Macaca mulatta: one gene and its partner. The protein of the gene in region 2 interacts with the protein of the main gene of each other region in a pairwise test. Links are inferred from orthologs where the notes say so. Each region holds a gene or a part of one and is shown on either strand. Other genes may lie near its edges.

What was found. The genes of interacting proteins can lie anywhere in the genome.
Region 1: the proteins of GRB7 (region 2) and LAX1 interact in binary tests that used the Homo sapiens proteins (3 or more experiments, as listed by UniProt). The two-hybrid records come from large-scale screens. The link is inferred for Macaca mulatta from reciprocal best matches to the Homo sapiens genes GRB7 and LAX1.

What each region holds. Positions count from the first base shown.
Region 1 is NC_133406.1:61,503,408-61,508,997, reverse strand, and holds the start of LAX1 (lymphocyte transmembrane adapter 1), read right to left. Parts: upstream 3,314-5,590; 5' UTR 2,797-3,313; coding exon 2,639-2,796; intron 2,418-2,638; coding exon 2,308-2,417; intron 1,848-2,307; coding exon 1,737-1,847; intron 819-1,736; coding exon 739-818; intron 1-738. UniProt on the Homo sapiens protein: Negatively regulates TCR (T-cell antigen receptor)-mediated signaling in T-cells and BCR (B-cell antigen receptor)-mediated signaling in B-cells.
Region 2 is NC_133421.1:64,089,939-64,095,557, reverse strand, and holds the start of GRB7 (growth factor receptor-bound protein 7), read right to left. Parts: upstream 3,453-5,619; 5' UTR 3,022-3,452; intron 2,804-3,021; exon of another isoform or gene 2,763-2,803; intron 2,584-2,762; exon of another isoform or gene 2,233-2,583; intron 1-2,232. UniProt on the Homo sapiens protein: Adapter protein that interacts with the cytoplasmic domain of numerous receptor kinases and modulates down-stream signaling. Promotes activation of down-stream protein kinases, including STAT3, AKT1, MAPK1 and/or MAPK3. Promotes activation of HRAS.

The sequences.
Region 1 (5,590 bases), on a different chromosome or scaffold from region 2:
CTGGGCAATATGGTGAAACCCCATCTCTACACAAAATACGAAAGCTGGCCAGGCGTCGTGGTGTGTGCCTGTGGTCCCAGCTACTTGGGGGACTGGAGTAGGAGGATCGCTTGAGCCCAGGAAGCAGAGGTTGGAGTGAGGGAAAAAAAAAAAAAATGGCTGGGCACAGTGACTCATGCCTGTAATCCCAGCACTTTGGGAAGCCAACGTGGGCAGATCACAAGGTCAAGAGATCGAGACCATCCTGGCCAACATAGTGAAAACCTATCTCTACTAAAAATACAGAAATCAGCTGGACGTGGTGGCACATGCCTATAATCCCAGCTACTTGGGAGGCTGAGGCAGGAGAACCGCTTGAACCTGGGAAGCAGAAGTTGCAGTGAGCCAAGATCACACCACTGCACTCCAGCCTGGGTGGGAGAGCAAGACTCCATCTAAAAAAAAAAAAAAACTACATCTATACATACCAATCAATTTCAGTTCTGACATTGTGCACTTGAATATCTGTACCCTGGTGCCCTTTTTAAAATTCCAAGCACTTGCCTCTGTCCTTAATTTTTCTTTTTGGGTCTAGGGAGGTCCTGAGGCTAGTCTTCCCAATTTATTAATAGGACCGCAGGGCGAGCGCCAAAGGACATGCTGTTTGTTTGCAGTGAGACCAGATCCAAGCCCTATAACTCTTTCCCCTCAGTTCTTCTGCCAGAGACATGTCATTCTCCCGAGAAGCATGACTCTTACCACATGCTCAGGGCTCTCAGAATTTCTGGAGAGGAGGCTCTCAGTACTGAAAATGCGCATACTCCTTGACTCATGTCTCCCTGAAAGGACAGAGAACAAATTCTGAAGATAGCCAGTCCTCTGAGTGCTTCAGCCCAAATAATCCCTGCATCATGGATGAACTGGGTTTGTATGGTGTCTGGAATTTCCAGCCTTGGGTCCTGTGTTCTCCTGTGTTCTGAGGTCAGAGCTATGGGGATGACACTCTGAGAACCGGAAGCCCCTCAGCTTCTGTGGCATTGGCGGATGCTATCACGGGGATTGGGAGGCTGAGAAACACGGTCCTGTGGGAGAACCTCCTCCCCGCCCCTCCTCTGCCTGTGATGCTGGCACTGAGTTCTCCTCCTTTGTGTCTCCCCATGCCTGGACACACGTGGCTTTCTTCTGTTGCCTTAATATTAAGAAAAAACAAAACTCGGCCGGGCACGGTGGCTCAAGCCTGTAATCCCAGCACTTTGGGAGGCCGAGACGGGCGGATCATGAGGTCAGGAGATCGAGACCATCCTGGCTAACACGGTGAAACCCCGTCTCTACTAAAAATACAAAAAAAAAATAAGCCGGGCGAGGTGGCGGGCGCCTGTAGTCCCAGCTGCTCGGGAGGCTGAGGCAGGAGAATTGCGCGAACCCGGGAGGCGGAGCTTGCAGTGAGCCGAGATCTGGCCACTGCACTCCAGCCTGGGCGACAGAGCCAGACTCCGTCTCAAAAAAAAAAAAAAAAAAAGAAAAAAAAAAGAAAAAACAAAACTCCCAGCCCAGATGACCCTCTGCTCCCTCTTTGGAGCCCTCCAGGTTCCCCCGGAGTTGCAGCTGACGGTCTGTCTATCCCATTCTCCCTGATACTCTCTGAAGGGCAAACAGGTTTGAGAACTTAGAGAAAGTTGCTTCTGGAGGGTGAGAGGCACATTCTGGGAGTGGAAGTTTGAACATCTGGACTCCATAGATTAGAAGGAAAAACCTACCCAGGTCTTCCTGTCGCCAAGGCAAGATGTCATAAATATTTTTGGCTCTTTGTCTGTTTTGTGGCAGAGTCAGCAAGGGCATGACGGTAACTCGGAGGTAAGGAACTTGCCCTGCAAGGCAATGAGAGAGATGGGAGTCAAGGCAGGGGTCAGCTACACAGAGTGAAGGAACTCATGGGAATGAGATGGCCCCTGGAAATGCTCCCCATCCTTGCCAGTTCTCACAAAAATACACTTTCAGATTTGAGTTTTCATTTGAGTGAGAGGAATAGGGGATTCCTATTTGAATTTTCATTTGAGTGAGAGGAATAGGGGACTTGATGGACAGAAAGTAAAGAAGAAACTGGACACAGGGGCACCAGGGCAATGATTTTCCCAGGGGAACTCCATCAGCACTGGGCCTTTGGAGCCACAGTTCAGGATCTTGAGTGAGGCAATGACCAGTGTATCAGGTAAGAACTGAGGACTCTCCAGGCCAATAGTTTATCCCTGGTAAATAAGCTGGGCTTTACATTCCAGGCTAGATTATTAATCCTACTATGTCTAAACTCAGGACAAACAAGGGACTCACGCTTCTTCCGTTTATTCCAGTTCCACAGGATGCAGAAAACTGCAACGACCAGGAGGATGGCAAGGAGTCCCGCGAACCCAGAAAAGATGTTGCTGATCTGGTCTTTATTTCTAGAAAAACAATCAAATGCCATGTGCTAGCTGTAGGAGGGTGGGGAGGCTGGAGGAGACATTTCCTTCAGGAGTTAGAGCCTGAAGATTTGGAATTGGAGCCGAGTGAAAGAAAGCCCAGGTGGGGGGCGGTGGAAGAGAGGGTTATCTCTGAATATTGACTTTATGAAGAGAGGGAACTTGGACAGGGGAGAAGGGAACTGTTCTTTTCAAATGCCTACCGGGTGCCAGGGGTTCGCATGTGAAATTTAACCTCCTTTCTTCCTTTCTTCCTTCCTTCCTTCCTTTCTTCCTTTCTTCCTTTCTTCCTTTCTTCTTTTCTTCCTTCCTTCCTTCCTTCCTTCCTTCCTTCCTTCCTTCCTTCCTTCCTTCCTTCCATCCATCCTTTCTTTCTTCCTTTCTTCCTTTCTTCGTTTCTTTCTTTCTTTTATTTTTTATTTTAGGTGGAGTCTTTCTCTGTCGCTCAGGCTGGAGTGCAGTGGCATGATCTCAGCTCACTGCAACCTCCGCCTCCTGGGTTCAAGTGATTTTCCTGCCTCAGCCTCCAGAGTAGCTGGGATTACAGGCACGTGCCATGACGCCCAGCTAATTTTTGTCTTTTTAGTAGAGATGGGGTTTCACCACACTGGCCAGGATGGTCCCTGTCGCTTGACCTTGTGATCCGCCTGCCTTGGCCTCCCAAAGTGCTGGGATTACAGGCATGAGCCACCACGCCCGGCCCTTGAAACTTATTTAATCTTTACAACAATCCTATCTCACTTTGTGTCCAAGTAACCTGAGCTTTAGATTCAGAAAGGTAAAGTAACAAGTCAGAGATCACCTAGGTAGGAAGGAGCAGAGAAGAAATGTGAATCTAGGTCTGTTTGCGTCCAAAGACTGTGCTCTTTCCACTCTGCCACACTGTCCTCCAAACCTGCAAAGTCAGTCATTTGGCCTTGCCCTTTCTCATCCCCTACTCGTGGCCTTCCTGGCTTGCTTGGAGGAGAGGATTAGCCAATTTACAATTAGGGAGTGGCTCTGTGACAGAGTCCATCTTGCATGAACTTGAATAACCCCCGGCACCAATTTGTGGAGCTGGTCTCCAAGCAACACGCTGTTGTGTGGAGTTTAACCAATTCACGTTCTGTGCTACCTTGCAATTCCCTGGCAGGGCTGGCGTCACTGCTCAGTTTTGCTTGGGTGTTGAAATGCGTCCAGATGATTACAACTCCAGATGGCTATGCCTAATGCAATAGAAAGCTGCCAACTGAAGTTACAGCAGGACTCAGGAACTGACGTGCTACCCCCAATTATTAGAAACCAGGGCATTTAACAGGGAAGGTTTTTGTCCCCTTGAGTTTTAGGGTTATTTATACAACTTTCTTTCTTTCTTTCTTTCTTTCTTTCTTTCTTTCTTTCTTTCTTTCTTTCTTTCTTTCTTTCTTTCAGACAGAGTCTCGCTCTGTTGCTCAGGCTGGAGTGCAGTGGCATGATCTCGGCTCACTGCAACCTCTGCCTCCCAGGTTCAAGCGATTCTCCTGCCTCCGTCTCCTGAGTAGCCAGGACTATAGACACCCGCCACCACGCCAGGCTAATTTTTTTTTTTTTTTTTTGTATTTTTAGTAGAGATAGGATTTCACCATGTTAGCCAGGCTGGTCTTGAACTCCTGACATCAAATGATCTGCCCGCCTCAGGCTCCCAAAGTGCTGGGTACAGGCGTGAGCCACCGCACCCAGCCTATTCAAGTTTCTAGTGGGCATTTCTAACTAGCTGCCTAACAGACATCTCAAACCAAAACATCTCCCCACATAAACCTGCTACTCCCCACGTGTTTCCCATCATCTAGTGACTTAGTCAAAAACCTTGGAGCCATTCTTGACTTGGAGCTCTTTTTCTTTCATGCCCCACTTCCAGTCAACCAATAGATTCTGTCTGCATTACCCTGGGCATTTACCCCAAACCCAACCACCTCTTGCTCCTCTGTTGCCACCACTTGGGTCTAAGCCACTGTGTTTCACAGGAATCTTTGTAATAACGTTCCTGATTGGTTTCCTTGCTTTAACTCTTGGCCCCAACATACTATCTTCACGCAAAAACCAGTGTGATAATTCTAAACAGTAAGTCAGATCACATCCCTCCACTGCTCGTCACTCTCCGTGGCTTCGAGTAACTTAGAATAAAGTCTATAGTCCTTCCTCAGTGACGACTTTATGGCACAATATGATCTGGCCTCTGCCTACCTCTGACCTTATTTCCTACCACGTTCCCTCTGACTTTGACTACCAGGATCCCTTGCCCACGCAAAGCACAGTTCTGTGTCAGACCTGCCACTCCCTCTCCCAGGAACCCTCCTCTCCCAGCTGTCTGCATGACTGAGTCCCTCTCATTCAGGTCTCTTCTGAAATGTCAAATGTCATCTCCTCAGACAGGTCTTCCATGGCCACACCCTATTACTTGCAGTCCCCTGTGCTCCATTTTTTCTTCATATCACTGATGACTGATTGATGTATCTTTTTTTTGAGATGGAATTTCGCTTTTGTTTCCCAGACTGGAGTGCAGTGGCACAATCTCGGCTCACCGCAACCTTCCCCTCCCGGGTTCAAGCAATTCTTCTGCCTCAGCCTCCCGAGCAGCTGGGACTACAGGTGTGCATCACCACGCCTGGCTACTTTTTGTATTTTTAGTAGAGATGGGGTTTCATCATATTGGTCAGGCTGGTCTCGAACTCCTGACCTCAGGTGATCTGCCTGCCTCGGCCTCCCAAAGTGCTGGGATTACAGGCATGAGCCACCACGCCTAGCCTGATTGATTGATACTATACATTCATATGCTTACCTGTTTATCATTTTTTTATTTAAAAAAAAACAAAAAAACCAAACAACAACAACAACAACATTGAGACAGGGTCTCCATGTGTTGCCCAGGCTGGGTTTTGAACTCCTGGGCTCAACTGATCCTCCTGCCTTGGCCTACCAAAGTGCTTGGATTATAGGCATGAGCCACCACATTCAGCTCTGTTCTTTATTTGACTCTCCCCTTTGACTATAAGCTTCCAGTAGTTATGGACTTGTTTATCCTGTTCACCTAGTGCCTTAAATAGTGCTTGGTACTTTGTAGGGCCCTGATGAATATTTGTTAAATGAATGAATGACTGAATTAATAAATAAATGAACTAACATAGAAATAGTTTTAA
Region 2 (5,619 bases):
TGTCCTATCCACTCATTTGTCCAAGGGCACCCGGTACCCCCAGGCAAGGCCAATCTCACCCATGTCTTATCACTTACAGGGGCTGCACAGACACTCAGGACAAGTAAAGACAGGAGGGCCGGCAAAGGCGAGCACTAGAGGTGGAGGTGGGGCTGGCCCCTCCTCCTCAGGAACCAGGCAGACCCCTTTGGCTGGACTGAGACCTGGGAGAACCTGCAATCCCAGCCCCTAGCCTGTTCTCCGAACACTGGGCCAGTACTATGAGGCCACCTGGGGCACCTGGGATTGACCCCTCAGGAGGGCGCAGGCACCTGACCCCTCAGTGAGGGCATCAGGGGATTTGGGGGACAGGTGAGTCAGGGCAGGCGGGACAACACTGCCTAGGGCTCTCCATTCAACCTTGACTCATCCACACAACTTCCTGGCTTAGGAGAAACAAAAACAGCCCTGCCTCTACCCTCCCCCCAACTCCCCAACCCAATGGTAGCCACAGCCGAATGGGGGAGGCATGGGGCTGGGAACAGGATGGGGGAGGAACATGTGGGGCCTGAGGCTCCTCTGACATCACCTCCTCCTCCCCACCCTCGGCCTTGCTCCAGGCCAGGTGGGACCTGTGATCTGCTCTCACCCCCAGTGCCAAACCACCGCCTTGCCAGGGAGTCCCTCACCTGGGAAAGAGAGAGGCAATGCCCGGCCTGGATTCAGAGGCCCATTTGGAGAGAAGCCAGTGTCCCAGCGGTGCCCCTCCCCACCCAAAGCATCGCTCAGAGCCCCCGCCCCGTGTGGATGAGGTTCCTCCCGACACATTCTCCTGGGTGTCCTGGCCAGAGGGGTACCACAGGAGCAGGAGCAGAAAGGGAAAACACTCAAAAAGACAGACAGGATGAAGGGCCAGGGAGGGGGCCCAGGGTCTGGCCAGGAGGGGCAAGATATACCCGCCACCCGCTAGCAAGAGACACCAGCACCTCAATATCAGAACACGATCCCCCACTCCCACCCCAGTCTACCCTCCAAACAGCCCCGGTCTCCAAACAGCCCTGGTGACTTCATTCCAGGTTGCAGGGGGCCAACAGTGGGATGGGGAGAGGAGCAGAGAATTCAGGAGGGCAGCGATTGGAAGGGGTTAGAAGTGGATTTGAATCACATTACAGCCTGGCCTCAGAGATCAGAGAGGGCCAGCCTAAGGCTGGGGTTTGCCTTCAGATCCCCCCACCCGGGCCCTTCAGCCCCTTCTAAGGCTGGAGGCGGGTGGAATCCTCAAGACCAAAGAGGCGAGCAGGGAGGGGAAGGGCTCCTGGCTGTAGGCCTGGCAGCTTAGAGATCTGGAGTTTTGAAACTGAGGCACCGGGAAAGTTTCGGTTGGAAAAACCGACCCCCAAAATCAGTTTGTCCCCTCAACGAGGTAACTCCGGCGGTGTCTTCCCAGCTGCCTCCTCCCCCAGTGGCTCCAGCCCCACCCGCGTTCCCGTCCTCCCAACCTCCTTGTTTACTTCCTGAATCACGCCCCACCTGGCTGGCCCTAAGGGCGGGTGGCGGGGCCCGGTGTTCAGGGCCAACAGAAAACAACTCTACTTCCCAGAGTAGGGGGAAGGGCTTGCGGGACTGAGGCCTGGGCCAGGGGCCTGGATGTGGCGGGAGCGTCCCTGTCCGCCCAGTACTCCACGCCCCGCCCCCACGGGACAGGCTTATAACCTTTTAGGGTGCAGGGCCCAGGTGAGAAGGTGAGAAACCCCTGGATGACTCCTAGTAGAAGGGAGGACCCAGGACTCTGAGGCCCCGCCCACTCTCACTCAGGAAAAATACCCAATGAGAGAAGGCGGGGCAGCTCTTTTAAAGTTTAATTCGGGAAGAATGCTGGAGTGTCTGTGCGGTTAATCATTACAGGCTGCCTGCTTCCATGAGGTCCCCCCACCCCGCACACAGCAGGATATCAGGAGAGAGCAGAGTCCAAGACCGGCGGACCAAAAGGGAGCATTCCTGGTGGGCAGTGAGGCTGGAGCGGGGCGGCGAGGGGGGGTTCCACCTTGCCGGCAGGTGCATTCTCTGTCCTCAATCTGCCAGGGAGACCCAGACCGGGTACCTGGGTCTCTCCTTAGCCTCATCAAGCAGAGGAAACCATCTGCCATCCCCTACCCCACTCTCCCCAGGCCCCACCGCACTGCAGAGCCCCTCACCCACCCCTCTAGCCTTCCTGGCCACTTCATGCTGAAGCCAGGAGGGACCCCGGCTCACCCGGCCTCCACTTTCCCACCCGAGGGCCGGAGGCGATGTTGCTGAGCAGGGCATACAGTCTGGAGAGATGGAGCCTCAACAATTTAGAGGATCCCTCTCCTTCACCGTCCTCCAAAGTGGAGGGGGCCCTCCCCACATCTCCCCGCAGCCCGCGGAGACGTCTGTCTTAGAGACTTGGGGAAACCCAAACTGGGGTAAACTGGGCGAGCCAGGGAGTGAGGGCGGCTCTCCCAGGGTGTGCGGGGAGGGGCCAGTTTCAGCGGGAAAGCCAAGTCGGAGGAGAGAATCAGGTCTTCCTTCCCATTCTCGCTGCTGGCTTCGGGGAGGTGTACCGGGAGGGAACAAGGAGGGCTGGAAACCAGGATGGGGACGAAAGAGGGCGGGTGGGGAGGAGGGGGCGGGGTGGGAGATGGGAGGAAAAGAGAAAAGTGGGAGGCCGAGCAACCCAGCAGGAGACCCAGCCTTTCCCTACCGGCCCCCAGACCGGCCGTGCCTGCCCCCAAAGGATGAATGCCCGCTTGGGTTCTTACCTGAACCCCGAACATCAGGACACCCGGCTGGGACCACGTCTTCAGGGAGGGAGACGCCAGGCCCTTAAGTACCTGTCCCCCTCCAGCCCCCGCCCCGGGCCTGACATCACCGAGCGGGGGAGGGGGAGAGCCAGGTGGCTCCAATCCGCCCACCTGGGCCGACGGCCAGTTCGGCCGGAGACGGGCACAGCCTGGGGCCCTGGTGCGGCTGGGGGTTGCCTGGCAGGCTGTTGTCTGAGACCGATCTCTGTCCCCTTACCTGGAGGAGCCCCAGCAGGAGTAGCAGGACACCCGTTCCGAAGTCTGGCTCCGTCTAGGAAACCCCAGATTCCTGGATTTTATTTCAGATCCACTCCCGCTTCTCTACAGGTGGTAGGAGGGTGTCCCGACTTCGGACAGAGAAGTCAGGGCCGGGGGAGCCCTGTGTGTCCAGATTCCAGGCCCAAGGAAACTAAAATTATCTTGGGCAGATGGGGGCGTGTCCAGGGGAGGCGCCTGGGAGGAGGAAGCCTGGGAGGAGGGTGGGGACTCCCTGACACTCTACGCCAACTGGGATTGTTTTTGCCCTTCCTAGCCTGGCAGCAGGTGCCAAGAGAGGGTGCAGGTGCCTAGGAAGAGGCGGGGAAGACAGCCGAACAGACAGCACCAACAGCGAAGATCAAGAGTCCCGACCACCTGGGAGGGCGGGGGGAGGGTCTGAGGGCTGCAAGGTAAAGGGAACCACCGGTCCACTCCTCCCAAACATCCTCCCTGAACCTGGTCTGTTCATTGGCCAAGCCAGGGGGCACTTCTGCAGCTCTGGATCCCACCCCATGGGGCAAAGAGCACCCTGCCAAGGAGGGACGCCAGCCACGGGGGTGTCCAGCAACATGGCCTGCCCGTCGATCTGCAGGCACCCATACCATGGTGGCTGTGCCCTGGCCCCTCAGAGGCACCCAGGGTAAGCCCCTCTCCCGCCCCCCACCTTCTGAGCAAAGTCCAGAGTCTTGGCTTCCCCTTTAAAATCGAGGGGCTTAGGCTGGGTGGCACAGTGGGAGAAGCCATGGTGACCCAGAGAAAGCTCTGGCCTGGGCCCCTGGAGATTCCTCTTAGAGGGATCACTTTATTTTTTTGAGACAGAGTCCTGCTCTGTCACCCAAGCTGGAGTGCAGTGGCGCCATCTCGGCTTACTGCAAACTCCGCCTCCTGGGTTCAAAAGATTCTCCTGCCTCGGCCTCCCGAGTAGCTGGGATTACAGGCCACACACCCAGCTAATTTTTGTATTTTTAGTAAATCGGGGTTTCTCCACGTTGGCCACGTTGGTCTCGAACTCCTGACCTCGTGTAATCTGCCCACCTCGGCCTCCCAAAGTGTTAGGATTACAGGTGTGTGCCACCGCACCCGGCCTGAGGGATCGATTTAGTTCTCTCAGGGATCACTTTAGCTCTCTAGTTCAGCACTGGGCAAACAGGGTACTTGGGAGAAGGGTTGGGAGGCAGAAATCAAAGGCTGTGGCCACCACCCAGCTTGATGCGGGTGACAGGAAAACAAACAATCCTTAGGGTGATAAGAGGTCCACCATGGGGGGGGCACAGAGGAGTGACTCCTGCCTCAATTTTCTCCAGAGTTTTCCTAGGAAAACCGGTATGAATGTGCCCAGCAAAGAAGTGGGGGAGGAGGCAAGGTCTCTTGGGTGATGGAGCAGCTTGTGCAAAGGCAGAGTAGACAATTCACTCATTAATTTATTCAACTCTCTGTTCAGTACCTACCATATGCCAGCCCCATGTTTGGTGCTGGGCATACTGGGGTAAGCAACAAAAACAGACCCCGCCCTATCCTCACACAGCCAATCAGGAAGATTGATGTTAATCAAAGAATCACACAAATAAGAAATGACAGGAGACAACTATGCTGGGAGAATGACTCACATAGGGAGTCAGGAAAGACTTCTCTGTGGAGGTGACAGCTGAGCAGAGGAGAAGGTGGCTGACATGGGAAGGGGGTTGGAATCAGTGGATGGGAACTGGGGAAGGAGGCCACCTTCCCAAGTGAGGAAACCACTGCCAGAGCTCTGGAGAGGAGGGGATGCAGCATGCGGAGACAGAGAGTGGGGTTGGAGGAGAAAGGAGGAAGCAGAGGCCACGTGGGTGAACCTGGACAGGTGTGGAAGGTGTGGAGAGAGGCCGCTATGCTTCTGCAAATGTGGCCTCCAGACCTCCCTAACCTTGTGTGGAAAACAGATCCTTGGGATCCTCTCCAGCAATTGAATCTCAGTCTGTGGGGCTAAGACACAGGAAGGTGTGGTATTGACAAGCCCTCAGGTGGCTGTTCCGCAAGCCAGGTTTGAGAGCCATCCATCCTGTTTGTCCAGATGGGCAGGAGTAGCGGTCAAAGACCAGACCCTTCAAGTTGTATTTAGACTTAAGTAGAAGCACAGAGGAGAGGGCACATTTACATTTTAGAAAGATCATCCTGGATGGTGAAGGATGGGATGGAAACGAAGCCACGGTCAGAGGGCTGAGTGCTGTAGGAATCAACTTATATGGCTTTCTGGAGGGGGTGGAACTGTGTGAACAAAAAGCAGGTCTGGGGTTGGGGAGGAGGGAGAGGGGTCCACAGTAGGGGGCACAGGGACTTGTGGGAGGTGATGGGACCATTCTGTATCTTGGTTGTGGGGTTGGATGCACAGCTGTGTGTGTTTCTTAGGACTCATAGAAAGGTACACTCAAGGCCGGGCGCGGTGGCTCACGCCTGTAATCCCAAGACTTTGGGAGGATGAAGTGGGCGGATCATGAGGTCAGGAGTTCAAGACCAGCCTGCCCGACATGGCAAAACCCTTTCTCTACTAAAAATACAAAAATTAGCCAGGCGTGGTGGC